Linked DNA regions of Drosophila melanogaster. Each later gene encodes a partner of the first gene's protein in a complex. Each region holds a gene or a part of one and is shown on either strand. Other genes may lie near its edges.

Region 1 (4,238 bases):
CATTTTTTGTTGTTCTCTTATCTTGGAGAACATTTGCCAGTCCGAGGTTGATGAAAATTTTAAAATTAACTCAAACAACACCCACAAAATGACGTAATTGTATTCATTAAAAACAAAAAGTTTTCGAAGCAAGAAAACTAGATCAATATATTTATAAAGACAAAGAAAAAAAAAAACAAAGAAGACATAGACATGGAAAAGACCCTTGAGAAAACGTCGAAAAACATTGTAAAATAGCAAAACAGTCTGAGCAACTTGCTAAATACGAAAACGAAATCATGGCCATCGAATCCGACCCGTTGACATGTGTTAGTTATGGAAAACCAAAGTTTTCATAATTCCAAAATATACGCGAATTAAATAAGTTCATGAGTGTGTAGCACTCAGCTTGGCTCAGACAAGTGCGCAATCTTGTTAGAAAAATCGCGACCATATTTGGCGAAAATAGTATGGAAAAGTTTAATCCGGGCTGAGGGGCATAGACGACTGGGTTTGGTTTACACGGGCAGAAATTGGCTTTATATAAAAAATATATTTTAGTTATTTGTGACGGGTTGTTGGAGAAGTTTTACTTCTTAGGTATGTAGCTCATTGTAGGCTCATCAGGTTCAATACTAAATGAAAACCTTGGTCTTTTAATTGTAATGATATTATTTCCCATTGGGCAAATCACTCAACTAAAAGACTGTGCGTAGGGTGCATTGCAAACTGAAATATAATCTATTGGGAAAGGGGTGTGGGACTATCCCAGTCTCTCGGGAGGGGGGGGGGGGGTGCCTCTGATGACTCAATTGGCGCCGGCTCCTTGTGAATGAAGCCGCAGCGATCGCGAACTGGTTGGAGCTGTGGGCAGCAAAAGGAAATCTTCGCCGCGAGCTACTTGCCTTGCCAAAGCCTGCAATTGGCCAAGGTGATCCGGATCGAATGTCGTGTGCATGTGAACAGCGTTTTGGCGCTCTTCAACATTGTCAGTGTCAATTATTTGAAAACCAAAGAGACGGCGGGGACCTTGAACTTATCGTCGAACCCCATGCAAATGGTGGGCATTAGGCGTGCGCCGGAAAACAATGTTTTGCAATTATTCAGAACTTGCTCGCACTTGGCAGGGACAACAAATCTTTCGATTTGGATTCAAGGACAACTATTTTCAAAGACGACACCAGCTGCACAAATTGATTGACATAGGCGCCTAGTGTGTGTGGCTAAAATAAAGTGCTGTGTGCCAAATTGAAAATAACTTTTTTCGATTACAAAATGTTATGTTTTAAATATTCTTGTTAATAGTTTAGCTTAAATTCAATTATTTTTAAAACTATCGCCAAGTTATTTTAATAAAATATAACTACATTGCATATGATAAGAAATCGGTGTTCAAATTTTGCGCCAATTTTTTTATTATCATATAACTGGTCACACTTCGTTCTCAACTTGCAGTGTAACCGCATGTGCCAAAATGTCATAACACAAAATAACAACAATGTCTCTCGTGGATAAATTAAACTATTACAGCACACGAAAATCGTTCAAATATGGCATACCCTTCCTCATCATGATGGTGGCTGGCTCCTTTGGACTGCAGCAGTTCTCCAACCTCAGGCTAGCATTCAAGAATCTCCGGGAAATCCTTAGCTAACTCATGAGTCTCCTCCCTTTACAGGTATCAGTACGCCAAGAAGCAGCCGGTAACGCCGGAGGAGATGAAAAAGTACGGCGTAAGCATGAAAAACCGCAAGGATGTGACGTTGGAGTCGGAGTACGACAAAGTCAAGTCCGTGGACATAGAGAACTGGGAGAACAAACGCGGTCCACGTCCCTGGGAGGAGCAGGAAGATCAGCCGACGACAGCGAAGCACTAGACTTGATGCCTTCAAAATCATTAAGAAAACAACCCATAAAAACAGACTGTTTGATGTACATAGTCATAAATAAATCAATATTGTTAATATCTACCAAGACAATACCCTGTAAATAATCGATAAGTGCATCGGTACTGTCCCATCCGATAGCCCTATGCGTCACGCACGGTCACTCTAGGATTTGTTAATTATCTATTATTGAAAATAAAATGGGAGAAGTAAAACCCGCTAAAGTGGAAAACTATAGCACGGGGACCGATGCAAACACTCTGTTCGTGGATGGTAGGGCAATAACTTAAGCCCAACTATAAATCAAATTAAACACATTGGCGCCATTTGCAGGGGAACGGGTTCTGTGCTTCCACGGACCGCTCATCTACGAGGCCAAGGTTCTGAAAACAAAACCCGATGCGACGCCGGTTGAGTACTACATCCACTACGCGGGCTGGAGTAAAAAGTGAGCAAAGCTACTAGTATGAACACCGATCTGCATGAAAGCCATTTCATTTTCAGCTGGGACGAGTGGGTGCCCGAGAACCGAGTCCTCAAGTACAACGATGACAACGTCAAGCGACGTCAGGAACTGGCTCGCCAGTGCGGCGAGCGCTCCAAGAAGGATAATAAGAAAGGTGAGTTCAGTAACAAACGCAATTCCTGGAGTTGTAAATTAAGGTGTTTACATACCAGGCAGCGCCAAGGCCAAGAAAATGGAACAGATGCGGAACGAATCTCGTGCCTCGACGCCGTCTAAGGATAGCAACACCTCGCAATCGACCGCTAGCAGCACACCAACAACTAGCGCCGGACCGGGAAGCAAATCGGAAGCCGGGAGCACTGGCACCACGACTACTAACAGCACCGCCAACTCTACAACCAGCCGGGCCCACCGAAAGTCCACACAATCGACGCCATCCACAGCAAGACCTGGCACGCCGAGTGATAAAAAGGAAGACCCCGCCGCAGCTGAGACCACTGAGGAAGAGGGGCCGGTGGCGCCGAAAAAGAAAAGAATGAGCGAACAACGGCCTTCTCTTACGGGAAGCGATGTAGCAGAAAAGCCGTTGCCGCCCACTACCACTCCATCCACACCCACCACGGAGCCGGCACCGTGTGTGGAAAGCGAGGAGGCCTACGCAGCTAAGGTGGAGGTCAAGATTAAGATACCCGACGAGTTAAAGCACTATCTGACCGACGACTGGTATGCGGTGGTGCGGGAGCACAAACTGCTGGAGCTGCCCGCCAAGGTTACCGTGCAGCAGATCTCTGAGCAGTATTTGGCGCACAAGAAGTCCGTGAAATCGACCAGTGCCAGCAAGGAGGTTGCCATAAACGATGTACTCGACGGAATTGTAGAGTACTTCAATGTAATGCTGGGCTCCCAGTTGCTGTACAAATTCGAACGCACCCAGTACGCGGATGTGATGCAGAAGCATCCGGACACACCGTTGTCCGAGCTTTACGGATCTTTTCACCTGCTGCGTCTGTTTGTCCGCCTTGGCTCAATGCTCAGCTACTCTGCGTTGGATCAGCAGTCCATGCAGAACCTACTCACGCACGTGCAGGATTTCCTTAAATTCCTCGTAAAGAACAGCTCAATATTTTTCAGCATGAGCAACTTTATCAACGTTGATCCCGAGTACGTGCGAAATGCACAGTAAGCAATAATCTTTTCTTGACTTGAAGTAAATATTTCATCAAAACAGTTTGCAATAATTCGGTGGTTGCTCTCAATTTGCTCCCAAATTGTAAATTAAAACACAAGTAAAATGTTTTGTCATAAGGTAATAAATGTCAGCACCTTGTATTAGTTCTTCGGTTTCGCTTTTGTGTCTTCATCATCGCCCTCGGTCTCCGTCTCGCTACTACTACTACTACTGCTGGTGGGATAGAAGTCGCGAAGATCCCTAGGCTTATCCCGCTCCTGCTGTTCCTTCTCCAGGTACTCATTCTGCACCTTAACAATCTCATCGCTGCTCTTGCAGGCTGCATAGGCATTGAGAAGCTTGTCGTTTAGCTCCAGAAAGGCATGACCCCATGAGAACTTGCCCAGAAACCAGCGAGCCTCTTCCGTGAATCCACAGATGTATAGAGTGGCGGCTATGGCCTCCACGCAGCTGAGCTTGCAGGGCTTTCCGTAGTTGATGGGATTGGCGGCCACCAAGAAGGGCAGCAGTCGCGGATGTGGGCTGCGCATCCTTCCAAAGGGCGTCTCGTCCAGCTTGGCCCACGAGCAGTCGATCACGGCCACGCCCGAAGAGGCCACCACATCGCGATCCAGCGGACTTACACACAACTGGCCAACGGGCGAGAGGACAAGGCCAGGAAACTTCTGACCCAGTCGAAGATTTGAAATGAGTCCTAGGCGTGCCAGTTTCCTGCCCG
Region 2 (4,065 bases), on another chromosome or scaffold:
AGCCCGGATTAGGATATGCAGGATAATTGTACTTGTGCTCCGTCTTGGAGTGCTTGTGCTTCTTCTCTCCACTGCTGCTGCTGCTGCTGTCGCTGCTATCGCTGTCCGTCCTAACCACTTCGTACTGAAGTAGCAGTACCAGAAGGACTCCAATCGCCGCACAGCTCTTCATTTCTCCGTTTAAACGCACGACGTTCGTTTGATCTAAGCTCACGGGTATGACTAAATCTTGCTCACACAATACCTTGTCCCGTTCCCGTTCCGACAATTCAAATAGCCAGCGCGTGCGTTGATTTTGATAAGTCGACAAAAACATACAGATGCGACAAGGTTGCGGCAGGGCCCACTCAACTAATTCCCTGTAAGAGTTTAGGATTGAAAAACAATTTCATTCGGAAATGAACAATACTTCGCCCATAGATTATAAATAGAGAATACAATGGGTTAATAATTTATGTGATGTAATGTCTCATACTTATTAATTAGTTATTGTGTGTCGGAACAACCGCATTTCCTCCAGATTTTGTTATATATTGCAAAGAGAGGCTGTGTGCTTATCAATTTGACGCAAATTAAGCGAAACAATTCTTTTGAATAATCTTAATAGAAGACTGCGACGCTTTTATTATTTAGACAACTAAACTTTTAAATAGAGCGGCAATTAAAATTAGATACTAAAAGGTAATAAATGGGTTTTACATATACAAATTGGATTAGCAAGATAAACTTTCTTTTGTGTAAACTGTTTTATCAACTTCTTAAGTTAATAAACCGGATGCTGCTGATAAATAAAATCAAAACAGACTGTGCGTTGATTATAAATACTTTTTAAAGATAACGTTTTGGGAAATACCCTATGTACTACTTTTCCATTGTCGCCATTGTATGAAATATATTAGGTAATCGTTTGGTACTGCCTGAAATTGACGAGGGTTGTCCAAAGAGTAGTTTGTGATTTCTTATACCTTTTTATTCGAAAAATACGTATAGCTTAATGAACTATAAAATTGATAGCATTATTAGTTATCTCCGTTTTTGCTGGCAGCTGCCGAAGCCTTCAGACGATTCTCCTTGACCAGCTTGCGCCATTCCAGCCATTTGGCCAGTTCGGGTTGCTCGCTGCCGCCGCCTTGCTGTTCCAGCTGCATGTAGTAGGCTTCGCGCAGAATTTTGAAGGCCTGGATGCTGTAGTATGGCTGCTGTGTGATCGGGTCAAAGTAACGGGCTGGCAGCCTGGTGATTGGACAGATGCCATTGCTGGCTTTGGGAGGCGCCTTGTGGCGGAAGAGGCTTTGAAACACCTTGTCATTGAAATCGTTCTCGATTGTAACGAATGTGCGTTCGCACTTCCCAGCAAGATCCTTTGAATCGACCGCAGGGTTTGCTCCGCGAGTGGGCTTTCGCATCGCTGGCATGGTTAGTGAGTGGTAGCGTATCGTGGGTCCGGAGAACGTGCGCTTGGTGGGACGTGATTTCTTCTTCTCCAGCTCCATTTTCTGGAATTTCTCTGTGAATGCAACAGCAAATTGTAAAATAGCTGCTTCCTTGGTTGCTTTAGATACCCACCCAAAGATTTAGTGTTTTCTTCCTCGGTTATTTTGGCCTCCTCCAGCAGCTCCTCCTGCGTGGGCATGTAGTCCTCCACGCGCACCTTCTTCTTTTTGCGCTTGCGGGCATCGTCCAACTCTTTGAGGCGTATTTTGGTAGCCTGTGTCTTGATGGCCGTGGAAGTGCGTATGGATTTGCGGCCGGAATCGAGGACCGTGAAGCGTGGACGTGGCCGCCGTTTCGTTACCCCACCACCAGGTCGTTTCTTGTGCAGGGCCGGCGTTGCCTTTGTTTCCTTTTTGACTGCAGGCTTGGTTTCCTGCGGAAATCATATGTACCATTTAAACACATTCAGTAATCACAGGATTTTATCGCATTTTAAGAATGGTTCGCACCTTATAAGCCTTTGTGTTAACGACACCGCGTTTCCGCTTTTTCTCGGGCGCCTCTTCCTGATCCGAAACGGGCTCGTCGTTCTCATCGATACTGAAGTCGGAGTCAACCACATCTTCCTCTTCGTCTTTTTGCCTGCAGAGTGAATTTTATATGGCTTGAGCATTTAAATTTATTCAAATGATTAGTGCTCACTCGTATTCCTTATCCTCTTCGTCCTCCTGAAATCCACCATAGGACGTTTTGTAAAAGTCGTCCTCCTCTTCCTCATTGAGCAAATGAGCTATTTTGTTGCCGGCATTGTTGCGCCGTGATCGCGAGGCAGCCATTTTTGTTATTTATATATAGAAACTATGATTTAAAGCAGCTATTAAATAATAATATTTTACAATTTGTAAATGTAAACAAGCAGAGCAGTGTGACCAATGTAGCAAACATAGTATATATCGCAGAGGCTTTACAACTTTGGTATGCGTTTCAGCCCTGGTAAAGAAAATGGTTTCTCCTGCATTGGCAGTTATTCAAACACATTTAAAACATAGCTAAATTTATTTATTTATCTATTACATGTATCACAACAAAAAGCAGGCAGCTGCTTTAAAATCACATTAAAAAGCGGTCGGTAATTCAACTACCGAAAGTAGACCACATTACTTTACACTTGCGCTGGCCACACTCTTGGCTTGTTGCTTTTTATTCTGCCGGCTGCCTGCATTTTCTGATTTAATTTAATACCATCGATAAAAAGACTGCTCGCAACATGTCGGAACAATGGGAGGTGGTCTCCAAGTCGCGCAAGCAAAAGAATCTGGACAAGAAGGTGTCTGCACACAACGAGCAGAAGCGCATCGCGGCCCAGTTGCCCAAACTGGAGGAGCTGTGTAAGAATCTTTTAAAAGGTGCACCTTGCAATGCGATTACATGTTTGCCCCTGCCATTTTATTCACTTCGCAGTGCCAACTCAGCGGTATCGCAATTTGTTCGGCAGCAGCAACAACAACAACAGCAAGTCCCATTCCCCTGCGAAATCTAGTTCAAGTGCCTCATCTTCCTCAAAAGCCAATAAGTCGCCAGTTAAAAAGCACACCGCAAAGAATGCCTCTACCCAAAAAAGGACCACGTCGGCAGCCGCATCGAAGCCAAAGACTCTGGAGCTGGCCTTGAGAAACATCACCCGGGATGATTTTGCTGCCCAACTGGAGCAGGTGAAGCTCAGTTGTCCTGGCTCCGAGCTGCGCTGGTTAAGCCATGTATGTTTCTAAAGGAAATGTGCCTAAATATTTGCTCACCTATCGTTGTCCCCCAGATTGCGCTATACTTCAATGAAGCCTTGTCCTATGACTGCGATCCCATCTTCTCCGGCCGCTCGGCTCAGTATCCCAGCAATTTGGCCAGCGCCTCGCTCAAGTACTCAATTGTGGAGTTTCTGGGCAGTGTGGGCGAACAAAACCTGGAGTATTTCTTCTACTCCCTGCTGGATAGCATGTCAACGGATCTAAACAACAATCAGACAGTGGCAGGCTACAAGCTCATCCTACAGTTGATCGGTCAAAACTGGCCGAACATTTGTTCTAGGAACCTGGCCAAGACTGCGTTGCTAAGGAACTCCTATCAGAACCGTAGCAACATCTGCCTGAGCATCCTGTGGGCAATTGGACAAGGTGGCTATCAGTCCCTAAACGAGGGCGTTCGCGTGTGGCAGAACCTGATGCTGCCCAACCTGGAGCTAAAGCAGTACACCAAGTTTGTGGTCGAGTATATGGAGCGGGCTCTGAGTGCAGCAGCTGTCCGGAAGACAGCGGATCCTCTGCAGATCAACCAGCAGGAGTTCTTTGCCACTTACAATGCGCTCAATGCACCCTATAACCACCTGCCCAAGGAATGGCAGCAAAGTCTGAAGCGTAGTGCGCGTTTGTTGCTTGTAAGGACGAAAACAATTGATAGTTGTCCCATTGTTTCACTGACCTTTCTTCCTCCTGTGTGTAGCAACACTATATCAACAGTCCTGTGAGGCATGCCAACATATTCCTTACGCTCTTCCGGGAAATAAGCGCCGGATCCAAGCAGACTAATGAGATCGAAGGCTGTATTAGTTGTCTGCTCAGCAGCGGCAGAGATGATTGC

The links.
Region 2: MRG15 (region 1) and YL-1 share a complex: the UniProt entries of both Drosophila melanogaster proteins name them as parts of the tip60 chromatin-remodeling complex.

The regions. Positions count from the first base shown.
Region 1 is NT_033777.3:15,275,861-15,280,098, reverse strand, and holds MRG15 (MORF-related gene 15), read left to right. Parts: upstream 1-1,989; 5' UTR 1,990-2,065; coding exon 2,066-2,138; intron 2,139-2,198; coding exon 2,199-2,313; intron 2,314-2,369; coding exon 2,370-2,485; intron 2,486-2,528; coding exon 2,529-3,514; 3' UTR 3,515-3,659; downstream 3,660-4,238. Other genes in the region: l(3)neo43 (lethal (3) neo43), read left to right, coding at 1,478-1,596, 1,658-1,856; CG4338 (uncharacterized protein), read right to left, coding at 3,661-4,238. UniProt on the Drosophila melanogaster protein: Part of the Tip60 chromatin-remodeling complex which is involved in DNA repair. Upon induction of DNA double-strand breaks, this complex acetylates phosphorylated H2AV in nucleosomes and exchanges it with unmodified H2AV.
Region 2 is NT_033779.5:10,968,759-10,972,823, reverse strand, and holds YL-1 (YL-1), read right to left. Parts: upstream 2,382-4,065; 5' UTR 2,271-2,381; coding exon 2,137-2,270; intron 2,077-2,136; coding exon 1,944-2,076; intron 1,868-1,943; coding exon 1,567-1,867; intron 1,508-1,566; coding exon 1,020-1,507; 3' UTR 731-1,019; downstream 1-730. Other genes in the region: CG16743 (uncharacterized protein), read right to left, coding at 1-316; Tmem214 (transmembrane protein 214), read left to right, coding at 2,702-2,822, 2,896-3,191, 3,248-3,862, 3,928-4,065. UniProt on the Drosophila melanogaster protein: Part of the Tip60 chromatin-remodeling complex which is involved in DNA repair. Upon induction of DNA double-strand breaks, this complex acetylates phosphorylated H2AV in nucleosomes and exchanges it with unmodified H2AV.